Linked DNA regions of Canis lupus familiaris. The protein of the gene in region 2 interacts with the protein of the main gene of each other region in a pairwise test. Links are inferred from orthologs where the notes say so. Each region holds a gene or a part of one and is shown on either strand. Other genes may lie near its edges.

Region 1 (3,643 bases), on a different chromosome or scaffold from region 2:
CCTGCCAGTCTATTCTGCATCGTGGACGGCTGCTAATCCCTGCAGTGAGTGCTCCCCTCGCATCACTCTGTGATTCCATCTTGCATACCTTCCATGGCCTCAGGGTCGCCGCCCCGTGTGTGCCGGCTTCGGCCTGCATCCTGAGCCCCCAGCTACCATGGCGCCAGTCTGAGCCATGCTCACTGCTGTGGCCTGCTGGTTTCCCTGAGTGCGAGATGGTGCTGTTGTTATTCCTGTGCGTTGTTCGGGGATGTGGTCTGAAGCCTACAGCTGTGTAGGTCACAACCTGCTCCACCTCCTTGCCCCCGCCGCTGGTGACTCCATGTGGTCCACCTGGGTGGTGCCCTCACAGGTTCGCACTGACTGTCCCCTCTGTCCGCAGGTCTGCTGCCTTTGCTGCCTTGTCCACCGTCTTGCAGCACTGCCTCCTCCCTGAAGGCCTCCTGGCCTGCTCCCCACCATCTCCTCCAGCACCATGGCCACGGGCCCTTTGAGGCAGATGAGGGCTGTCCTGGAGCTTGCTTGTGCCCTGTGCCTCACTACTTGGTTGTCCTATGACTTGAAAATTGACACAAAGTTCCCAGTTAATGATCACTTTTGCATGAGGAGCCACTCCCAGTCCCTGTGACTGTCCTCTTAGCTCAGCAGGAGGTACCAGTCTCTGGGCCGTGGCTGGCAGGCCTGGATGGCTGGCAGGCCTGGACGTGCATGTGCACACGCTTGCATGCATCACCGCGTTGAGCTGTCTGGCCTTGGGACAGCCTCTAATGGTTGACTCCACACCCAGTGGGATGTCCACACTCCAATTTGAGGCTGTGCGTGTAATTGGCCCTGGCCACCTGGTTGGGCTTGTCTGCAGGCTCAGGGGGAAGCCCTCAGCTGGCCGGGGCTCTCCAGCACACCTGCCCTGTGGGTCAGGTCCTTGCTCTGCTTCCAGAAGTTAGGTAGGTTTTGCTTACCCCAGGCTGCTGTGCAGCTAGGGGTCAGGGCCACTGCCCAGGCTGGGCAAGTCCTGTGTAGACTTTTTATCTACTGAGACAGAAGAGGACAGCACCCGGAGTCTCAGAGCAGAGCTGACTTGGTTTGAAAAGAAATGGGCGTTTTCACAGAATGCTGACCCCAACCAGACTGTGCTTCCTTTAGCCAGGCCCCACCAGCTTTCTACGGTTTGGTTCTTTATGTCAGAAGGTGGTCCTGTGCAGTAACAGCCTTCCCCTTATGCCTGTTTTCCCAGTTTTCTTGGACAGAATTCCTAGGTTTCATCTCAGATAGTGAAATAAGTGAAAATGCCCGTTTCTTTCAAGAAATAAAGACATCAACTCTTCCTTCTTCAAGAGCCCTCCCAGTGAGCAGGGAGGCTGTAAGGAGTCTGCATGGGGTAGCCAGTGAGGGGGGAGGCCCATGGGGGTTGTCCTGGTGACTGGTCTTGGGCCTAGGCTGAGACTGGTCGGCTACACCATGCCAGGTGTACCCGCCTCCTCCCTGGGAGCCCTCCCTTGGCCTGGGGTGGGGGTGGGGATGGGGATGGGGTGGGGATGGGGGCATCTTCTCCCCTCTGGGCCTGGTGGGGTTAGGGCGTCCTCTCAGCTCTCCTCCAGACACTGGGCAGGTGGGCGGGGTCTCCCGCTGGGGCACACACGCTGGTCTGTCGACTGGTTCACCTTCCCATCTCCTCTCTTGGCCCACACCTGGGCTCACACCCTCCCAGGCCGCCCTGGCCTGTTTCTCCATCTGAAGTGGGGCAGAGGGGTGCTATGTGGGCCTCAGATCTGCCCTGGTCCTAGGACAGGACTTCTCTGCCCCACTCCTGGGTCAGCAGCCTGACTCCCGAAAGGGTCCGTGCTGCTGGGGGTCCCAGGGCCACCTCATCGTCTGGGTCATTCCTTGCCTGGCCCCACTTGGCCATCAGCCCCACCTCACTCCTCCCTGGCTCTGTTCCCACCTGACCACTAGCCCTGCTGCCCTGTGTAGCCCTCAGGTGTCCTGCACTCCCTCGTCCATGGCCCACCCCCTGTATCCCCCCCAACCCTAGTGTCCCCACCGGGGTGTCCTCCTCAGGGCTTGCAGGCGGCGGCCTCTGTCTTACGAGAATCTGGTCTCTGCGCAGGCGTTTGGACAGGCGCACACGAACCACAAGAAGGTGGCCGCGGATGGTGAGAGCCGGGAGGAGAGTCTGATCCAGGAGTCGGCCTCCAAGGAACAGTACTACGTGCGAAAGGTGCTGGAGCTGCAGACGGAGCTGAAGCAGCTGCGGAACGTGCTCACCAACACACAGTCGGAGAATGAGCGCCTGGCATCCGTGGCGCAGGAGCTGAAGGAGGTACCGGCGAGCCCAGGGGAGGGCAGGGCAGGTGTGTCGTGCCTTCCGCATGTGGCCATCCTCAAGGGGGGTGAGCGAGCTCGGGGCAGTGGGTGTGGCCTGGAGTCTGTGGGGGCTGTTCTGGCCGTGGCCTAAGGCCCCTGGCTTCTCATCAGCAAGAGCGAGGGGCCTCGTTCTGGGCCACGGGGACCTGCTCTCTGCCCTGTGTACTTTGGGGGCAGGGACAGCCGACCAGATGGACGGGTGGTTCTGAGGTCCACGCTTCGACATCAGGGCCACCCGAGGCTGGCAGGGGGCTCCTGTGGTGTGAGACGCAGCCCAGGGGCTGGCAGCAGTGGAGAACGGTCACCTACCCTGGCTTGGGGTCACAGTTCATGCAGGTCTGCAGGCCTGGGAAGAACTGGGCTTGGATCCAGGGGGTGGGCAGGCCTCAGATGTGTGGAGCCAGAGTTCGTGAGTTCATTTCTTCCCGTGGGATTACCGGGATTACCACGGTGGGGGTGAGGGGAGGGCCTCTGGGAATGCAGGGTGACCTCACCAAGGTGGTTGCAGCCTCGCCCCACCAGGTGGCCTCACCTGGCCAGGGCTGTTTGGCTCCTCATGTCTGAGCCATGGGGAGAGCCCCGGTAAGCTGCTGACTCCTGGCTTTGGGTGTCAGGACATGAGCTCAACTGGTCCTGTAGGAAGCAGGTTTGTGGGGCTGGGATTCCTGTCATTCCTGTTGGTGCTTCAGGAGGAAGCCGGCCACTCCCCACCCCATGCACGCTCAGCCACCTTTTTCTCTCAGGGCCCTGCCTCCCGCCCCACAGGCCCAGCCCCATCCGCACCCTGTTCCTATCGCTCTTATGCTGGTCCTGGGCATGTGGCTGCCCTGAGCTGCTGTGCCAGGCTCCCTCCTGGCCTCTGAAGTGGCCGTCCCCTCTCCCCATGAGGCTGGCACCCACGGCCAGGCCTGGTGGAGGAGCCAGGACTACATGCATGTAATGACATGCACTGCCCCCAGGAGGCCACTCTCCACCTGCCTTGGTGTGACGTGCAAGCTGTGCGGGGTCACCCCCTGGGGCATCCCCTCTTTGAGGGTAGCTGTAGTTCCCAGTGCCCGGTCCAGCTGCCATGCCCATTTCATGCTATGCCAGCTGTACCATGCCCTCTGACCAAACCCCAACAGCTTAATGCCGGCTTTCCGGGAGGACCTCGTGGCCTCTGTAGTGCAATTTGTGTGAGGTGTGCTCAGCACATGGGATGGTTCCAGCTGCTCCAGAACTTGTCCTTTCGGTGACCCTGTGGGGGTGGGGGGAACTAAGGAGCAGGTGGTTTGTCCGC
Region 2 (4,231 bases):
AGGGCATCCCTGGGAGGCTCAGCGGTTTGGCGCCTGCCTTTGGCCCAGGGCGCGATCCTGGAGTTCCGGGATCGAGTCCCGCGTCCAGCTCCCAGCATGGAGCCTGCTTCTCCCTCCTCTTGTGTCTCTGCCTCTCTCTCTCTCTATGTCTATCATAAATAAATAAATCTTTAAAAAAAATCTAAGATGACTTCAAGAACTATATGGGGGTTGTTGTCAAAACTCAAAGTAAGAAATGAGAAGCCACAGAACTCTGCAATACGAATTAGAATATAAATACTCAAGGAATTAACAAGAAACTTGCAGATACTGAAGTTATGATTGCTACTCATACTAATACCTTCCTAGGACAGAGATTAAGGATTTTTCATGCAAACTGAATAGCTCTGCATCACAACATAAGGCTAGCAATAACATCCCTAGGAAAAATAAGTAAATAAATAATTAACATCCCTAGAGTGTACAATAAGCACATTAGATCCTATTTATCAATAATGACCAATACACTGTATCTTAAGCATGGCATTGTCCTAAAACTGCCATAAAATTCCTAAACTAGGATCACTCTCAAAGATCTTACCAAGTTACTTCAAGAAACAAGCTTATACTTGCTCAGGAAAATTCACAAAGCAAAGAGGAGACTATATTTTTCCTCGGTAACCAGGGAGGGGGGTAAAGATTATATGTGAAAAGAGAAAAACGATTTCTCCAATTGGAAGCAATTTCTCAACTAATGTTAACCTACCTTAATGCCATATATATATATATGTATATATATGTGTGTGTATATATATATATTAGTATAAACAGTTCAAGGTGGTAGTAAAAGCTCTGAATTTATAACTGTTATCTGCTTTCCAATCAAAAGAAATTGTCCTCTCTACAGCCTAACCTAAGTAAGGTACCTAGCAGTTAACTCAATGTCTGATGACTTGGGAGGAACTAATCTCTCAATGTCTGAATTTTAAAGATGGTCATGAAAAATGTGAAAAAAAAACAAAAGAGGACAATAATTTCTACATTGTTGAGCGCCAAGTTTTATAATTCAGCATAAAATCAGAATCACCACGAGAAATAATTTGAGAGAAAGCCATCACAAAACTAGGAGCTTGTATTTAATACAAAGTAAGCAACAGCAGAAGCCTAGCTAGGTAAGATCATTCCACTTATCACATACTATGGAATATTAAGCATAAAAGGGTCGTTTAGCCGAAACGGTATTACATACTGAAGTCTAATTTAGATAACTAGATGATGAATCTATTCTACTCTACTCCATTACTCCCTGGCCCCAAAGGAAATCCTAGAAAACAAAGATGTTGGTTATTCTCAGGCCTTCTCTCACAGGAATCCTAAATATACAATTGGAAAACACTCAGAAGAAATTGAATAATTACTATTTCTCTGGTAATTCTTGTTTGCACCATCATAAAGAATCATACACTGCTTCATATTGAAAGGAGAAAAGGAGGAGGTGAGATGTGAGAAATTCCAAGTAAAATGATCATGACATAGCATCTGGCAGAGATCGCGAAAGCGCCAACAGTGCCAAAAGAATTGTCAGGGAATCAAAGTCATGAGAAGAAAATGAGGTTTTCTAACAAGCCACAGCCTAACCCAAGAAGCAAAAATTGCCCCTGCCGCCGCCACCCCTCTTACCCTCCAACCACTCCATCTTCAAGTCGCCTCCAATTCAGACATATATTCTCCATAACCCAAACTAATTCCCCACCTAAGTAAAAACAATCCAAGAATTTCTACGACACCCCCCGCCACTTCCCACCTCCCATAAGATCCGCACTTCCCAGGGCCAAGCCTCTAAGGAAAACAACGCCCTAATCCCCCCACCCTCCTCGTCCAAGGTTGAGGAGTGACGGTTCCCGGGAGTGGGGCCTCCCGGGGTGGGCCTTCACAGAGCTGACGATCTGGGATAAAAGCAAAGAATAAGGGTGGGGCTCCAAGAAGGGGGCTACGGTTGGTGAGACGACGGAGGCCGGAGGAAGAAAGGGATGGACAGCAGGCTGGGCTGGGCGGGGTGAGACTGGGGCGGGGGTGTGGGGGGGCAGGTCGACGGGAGAGGCCCGGGCTGCGGGGGGGGGAAGGAGATGTCGGAGCCGCGGACAGAGGATCAAAATCTGACCGACGGACCAAGACGAAGAGGAGCTGGTAGCTAAAGGGGGTCGGAAAACCCCGGGCAGGGCTGGGGGTAATGAGCACGAAACGCGAACGCGAGGCTGGTAGACAGCCTTCGCGGACAGAAGGGCCGCACTGGGGGCGGTGCGGGGAAGCCGCGGCCAGCTGCCAGGAGGGGGGGAGCCGCGCACTCACCGCTCTGCTCCCCCAGGAACACAAGCTTGAATTTCCTCAGCGGATTCCCGAAGTCTCCGCCCGCGGACATGATGGAGCCGGAGGAGCTGCCGCCGCCTCAGCCCAGAGACCTCTCGGACCGACGCTGCTCCCACCGGCTGACGAAAAAGGCGAGACGAAGGACCGACACCGAGCTCTCTCGGACCCTCTAGGGCCCGGCGGCGGAGCAAGGCTGCAGGACAGGGCTCCTCCCCACAGACAGGCAGAGGTCGCCGCCGCCTCCCCGCAGAGTCGCCTGGCACCGAGCGAGGCCCGCGGCTGGGGAAGGAAGGATGGCGGTATCGGAAGCAGCCAGGGGTGTGCTCGAGGTTCCCAAGGCTAGCGCCCTTCCCTTCTCAGCACCTGGCACCGAGACTGGGGTGGGAGAAGGGGAGGGTGGCAGAACTGGAGCCGCAGACGCGTCTGGGACCTCTCACGCGCAGCGCCTCAGCTCCCACAGCTGCCGCCGCCGCAGCCCAACCTGCTGAGTGCGCGAGCCTCTAGCGCGGCGCGCGGCGAGCCCGGGCGCGAGCGTGCCGCCCCGCCGGCCGCCGGCGTGCGTGCGTGCGTGCGCGTGCGTGCCACAAGCCAGCGCCTTCCTGGTTTAGCCTGCTCTCCCGGCTCCTACCGCGCGGCGGAGGCCAGGGCAGGTTAGGTTGCCACGCGAATCGGGAGAAGCAAGGAGGAGGCGGGGCGGAACCCTGGGGAAGTGACGGGGGTGGAATAAGGAGCACTTACGTCACTTATGTGAGAACCAATCGGAAGAAGTCAAGGGCGGGCAGGGCTGGCAGTGAGGTGGCGGCGCGAGAGCGCGCGCGGCCCTTGCTCGGTGGAAAGCGTCGCACAGCGACTGCCATGAGAAGTGTGGCGTGTCGCAGCCTAAGGGGAGGGGATGGGAAGGGCGGAGGCGGAGCTGGCACGTAGGTTGAATTGACCTCGGCCCTGTGAGGGTGTGGTCCGAGAGCCCTAAGGTGTGTACTCTGTTCCTCTTCTCCAGAGCCCTCAGCCCTGCCTCGCTCTCCTTAAATCCGCCCTTCACTCGTGCGCTCAGCCACCTTCTCCATCTTTTTTCTTATTATAATTCCTCACACGATATCTTACTAGGTACATTCTCCACTGTTGCTCTTAGGAGTTTCATAACTACCAGAAGCAGATCCTCTACATTTTTGCAGATGAGGAAATTGAAGCTCAGGGGAAGGAAATGACTTACAAAATCCACAAAGCCATCAAGTGGAACCTAGGTTTTGCCTTTTCCGCCAGTGAACCTCTGCAACCCTTCTTTTTGATAAGCCCATCCACTTCCCTGACCTGACCTGGCTTGGTCTGTTATCAGCCTTTGTTACTCTGATGTAGACAATTCTAGGTGACGCCCGCCTTCCACTGTGCTAGAAAAGGATTTAGACATCGAGGAAACCAAACCCTTCGTTTCACAGATGGTGAAACTGAGGTCCAAGTAGGAAAACAGCTATGCAAAAAGGTCGCAGAACAAAGTAAAGGTAAAGCCAGACTTTGAGCTCTATTGTGGGGGAGGGGATATTTTAAAGATCACTTTTTCCTCCTAAAGCCGGGCTTCTGAATCTGTTGTGGGTGGACCTCCCCTAAATTAGACCTCTGAAGCATGAGCGTTTTTCTCTGGAGAGGATCCATGGCTTTCATCAGATTTTCAAACCAGTTTAAAACCCCAAAAATGAAGGTGAATGTCAAAACCAAGAGGAACCTAAGGAGACATGACAACTAAGTGTAATGTAGATATAACATGGCAAACAACTCAGTGTAGCTTTTTAAGCTGAATGGGATCCTGGAAGGGAAAACGGACTTCAGGCAAAAACTAAACAACAACAACAACAACAAAAACCCTGAATGAATATGGACTTTGTTAATTATA
Region 3 (3,643 bases), on a different chromosome or scaffold from region 2:
TCTGACAAGGCCTGAGGACTTGCCCCAGAGGAACAAGGACTTCCTGGCTTCCTCAGTAGGTTTATCGGTGCAGGTTAACTCCTGGGAGCCCCCAAGACTCCCTCCTGTGAGCAGACCCCCCCATTTTTAGGCACTAGCCAGGAGATAAGATGTGGCTGCCTAGGAGGCAGAGGGACGGCAGGCTCCTGCATACCCACAGCCCCGCAGTGTCGAGTCCGAAATCCTCCCAAGACCCCCAGCCGCCTGGACGCCCCCCATCCTTCCTAACACTGGCAATAAACCCTCAACTGTGACTCAGCCTGGCCCAGGGATGCCTCTGTCTGTCTGGGTCCCAGGGGAATGGCTTGGGGAGGGTACCCCACACAACCTTTATTTAGGGCTTTCACGGCCCACTCTCCTCAAGCACATCAACGACATCCTGTGTGACCCGGCAGAGGGGTGAGGGGAGTCCCTGCCATCTCTGCCTCGGTTCCCTCATCTGTTAAGTGCGGTTGTAACATGACCTGAGACGGGCCAATTTTTCAGACAGAACGGACACCATACCTTGTTCCAGGAACTTTAATATTTGTGAGATAAAGTTCTGGCAAATACACACCTTCCCCAGTGCTCTGCACCCTGCCTGGGACAGATAAGCAGGGTGGGCTCTATCTCGTACGAACACAAGCACATGCCTACTCCCGGCATAGACAGAAATCTGTTCTGTTTACAAGTACAAGCAGCAGCTGTAGCCAGGGCTGTCGGGTTGGAGGGCGGAGCTGGTCCCGCTGGGCGCTGACCGGCTGGGGACGGTTATCCACGCGGACCCTGGCCCCATCAAGGTGGGCCTTGCGGTAGGTAATGAGGCAGGCATCCTGAGCCAGAGGGGCCCTGGCACCCCACCCAACACCAGGGTCAGGGGCTCTCTTTAGGCCTGGGTGGAGTTCTCAGGAAATCCCTAGAAGCAGTCCCTAGGAGCAGGCATGGGCCCTGGTCACGCCTCATGGGCTGTCTCTGGGAAAAAAATTTCACGGCATCGCTGTACTGTATCCTGTGGGGACACCACACTGTGGCCGACGGTCCGGGGGTCAGCGTAGATCTCAAAGTCATTCCCACCCTGCACACAATGAAGGGCAGAGAAGACACATACATATGTGGTACCTGGAGGAGTTGCCCAGGGCTAAGGCCCATCACACACCCTGGCATGGGGCCCTTCCCCATATTGGCTCCGGCAGAGCTGCCTCTCCCCCTACCCCTCAGAACCACCCAGAACCCCATCTTTTCAGTCTTCACCAGACCTGCCCTGATTTTCTGTGTGGCATGGGACAAGTGACCAGCCAGCGCTAGGCCCCAGTCTTCCAATCTGTGTAATGGGGTTGGCGAACACAGGCTGTTCTCAGGGAGTCTCCTGGGAATGTGCTCTGTTGCCCTGCGTCCTAGCTTTGACCCGGGCACAATTTGGGGTGGAAGGCACCTGGATGCGCCACACTCACAGGGCTGGTCTCGTTCCCAAAGAAGTGAATGGTGTCGAAGCTGTCCTGGTCCAGGCTGTCCAGACAGTAGCGCTTGTCCCAGCCCTCGGGGAAGACGTCAAAGCTGATCATGCCTCCTGTGGGGGGGTGGTAGACAAGACTAACAGAGGGGTGGCCGATGGGGTGAACTTGGGCAAGGTGCTTCATTCATTCATTCACTCACTCATTCATTCATTCAACCACCCTTGAGTGCCTGCTCAGAGCCAGCCACAGGGCATGGGAGACTCAGGATTCTCACTGAGTTGTGATCCTGGTGTGGGGAGAACAGGCAGTCAACAAGCCAGACCAGCACTGCTGGGGAGACCTTTCCAGGAGGTGGTACTAAGGGCTGAGCCAGAGTGGCAATAGCGGGGAATCAGGCCTAGTCCTTGCCTGCTATGGTGGAGAAGGGCATGGAGTTTCCCAGCACTAGAGAAGGCTGGGACAGGGAAAGGGTTAGGCCATGCAGGCCCTGGGGTCCAGGAAGGGCTCTGAGCAGGGGTATCCCTCTGGACACTAGGCAGTGGGAGGACAGCTATGTTAGTTAGCCCGAGTCCAAGAACTAATTTGGCAGAGGTGTGAACCGTGGTCAGATTCAAGAAGCATTCTGGATATAGGCCCTGGGACTTGCTAGTGGACTGCACTTGGGAAAGGGTGAGGAGAAACACTGAGGGAGATGCTTTGGTTTTCTGACCTGAGCAATTAGGAGGGTGGCAGGGTGTGGACTGGGTTTCGGTGGGTAAGACCGGGTGGGGGGGTGGCAGGAAGGCTTTCTAAAGGCACTGGGAGCGAGGCCGTGGACTGGCTTCTGTGTCAGGCTCTCATACCCTTCCCAGGATGAATGGATGGATGTACCTCGAGAGAACCTCAGCCCTTTGCCAGCAAACTCTGTTTTCAGGGCTTCCACGAACTTCTCGCGAATCTTCTCCTTCTGCAGGTGGGGAGGGAACAGACTGAGGCTCAGAGGGTTGCTGTGTGCCAGGCCCTGTGCTGGGCACACAACTGTGGGAGCTCAGGGTCTCCGAGGTGGATACCGTGACCCCCCCTTTACAGATGAGGAAACCGAGGCTCAGTGAATGGCTGTGCCTTATTCAAGGTCATCCAGCCTTGGTGGCAGAGCCAGGGCCTGAATCCAGAAGTCTGTGACTGAACTTGGCCGGAACCTGCCAATGGGGGTGTGGTCAGGGTATCCAAAGGAGCCCTTGGAGTGGAGGCATGAGGAGGAGTTTGAGGGGATGGGGCAGGCCCAAGTCCCAAGGTCCACCTCAGGGCAGGGCTCAGTCCCAACTGCTCTCCCCAGCTCAACAAGCAAATCGGACATGAGAGAGGAGCATGAGGAGCCAGGAGCAGGTGAAGCCCTGTTACAGCACAGCAGTGGGTGCTGGAAGGTCAGCAGGATGCCAGGCATAGCCACAGCACCAGCCACACGGCGACGTGGACTGGGCACCTCCTATGTGCAGGGGGTTGGGGGACTCAGCAGTGCTGAGGAGTCCCCTGCTGTACCCCACTCCTGGGTCAGGACCTTGTAAGTCCGCAGCAGATCTGCAGACCTGGACTAAGGAGGCATTTGCTCATTAGGCCAAGGACCCCTGGCCTGGCCCTGTTGGGGCCACGGGCAAACAGCCATGCAGGGCCTAGCAGGGCAGCATCTTGGCTGCCATGCTAACAGGGGCCAGCACCACACGGGTGGAAGGATCGCGCAGTGCAGGGGCAGTCCCCACCTTGCCGAAGGAGCAGCGAGAGCCTGATAGGACAGCCAACTCACAGATGGCCTGGGAGAGAGTCTGGACACATCCTGGGGGAACTGAGAACCACTGAGATTTTGAAGCAGGGGAGTAGAGTGCTAGCCCTGCATTTCAGTCAGTCCAAGTTGGGTAGGACTGGAATGGAGAGAGGCAGGCAGTGGCCAGTGGTTTGGGGCCTGATGTGGGCCAGGAAGGACATGAGTTTAACGCCTGATGTGACCCAATATGAGAGAGAAAGGCAGGCCCCATGGGTTCCAGGCCTGGTTGTGTGACTTTTCTGAGCCTATTTCCTGGGCTAAAGGATGGAGAGGTAATGAATGAACCCTCTTTTCCTCCCTCTCCTAGAAAAGCAGAAAAGTGGGATGTGAAGCCCCTGCCTACTGTACCCTTGCTGTCCCAGCAGGCAGGTGG

The links.
Region 1: the proteins of RAB6A (region 2) and BICD2 interact in binary tests that used the Homo sapiens proteins (3 or more experiments, as listed by UniProt). The link is inferred for Canis lupus familiaris from reciprocal best matches to the Homo sapiens genes RAB6A and BICD2.
Region 3: the proteins of RAB6A (region 2) and PMM1 interact in binary tests that used the Homo sapiens proteins (3 or more experiments, as listed by UniProt). The two-hybrid records come from large-scale screens. The link is inferred for Canis lupus familiaris from reciprocal best matches to the Homo sapiens genes RAB6A and PMM1.

What each region holds. Positions count from the first base shown.
Region 1 is NC_049222.1:99,442,305-99,445,947, forward strand, and holds part of BICD2 (protein bicaudal D homolog 2), read left to right. Parts: intron 1-2,107; coding exon 2,108-2,320; intron 2,321-3,643. UniProt on the Homo sapiens protein: Acts as an adapter protein linking the dynein motor complex to various cargos and converts dynein from a non-processive to a highly processive motor in the presence of dynactin.
Region 2 is NC_049242.1:24,608,029-24,612,259, reverse strand, and holds the start of RAB6A (ras-related protein Rab-6A), read right to left. Parts: upstream 2,883-4,231; 5' UTR 2,399-2,882; coding exon 2,329-2,398; intron 1-2,328. UniProt on the Homo sapiens protein: The small GTPases Rab are key regulators of intracellular membrane trafficking, from the formation of transport vesicles to their fusion with membranes.
Region 3 is NC_049231.1:24,660,596-24,664,238, reverse strand, and holds the end of PMM1 (phosphomannomutase 1), read right to left. Parts: intron 2,419-3,643; coding exon 2,343-2,418; intron 1,586-2,342; coding exon 1,470-1,585; intron 1,094-1,469; coding exon 971-1,093; 3' UTR 543-970; downstream 1-542. UniProt on the Homo sapiens protein: Involved in the synthesis of the GDP-mannose and dolichol-phosphate-mannose required for a number of critical mannosyl transfer reactions. In addition, may be responsible for the degradation of glucose-1,6-bisphosphate in ischemic brain.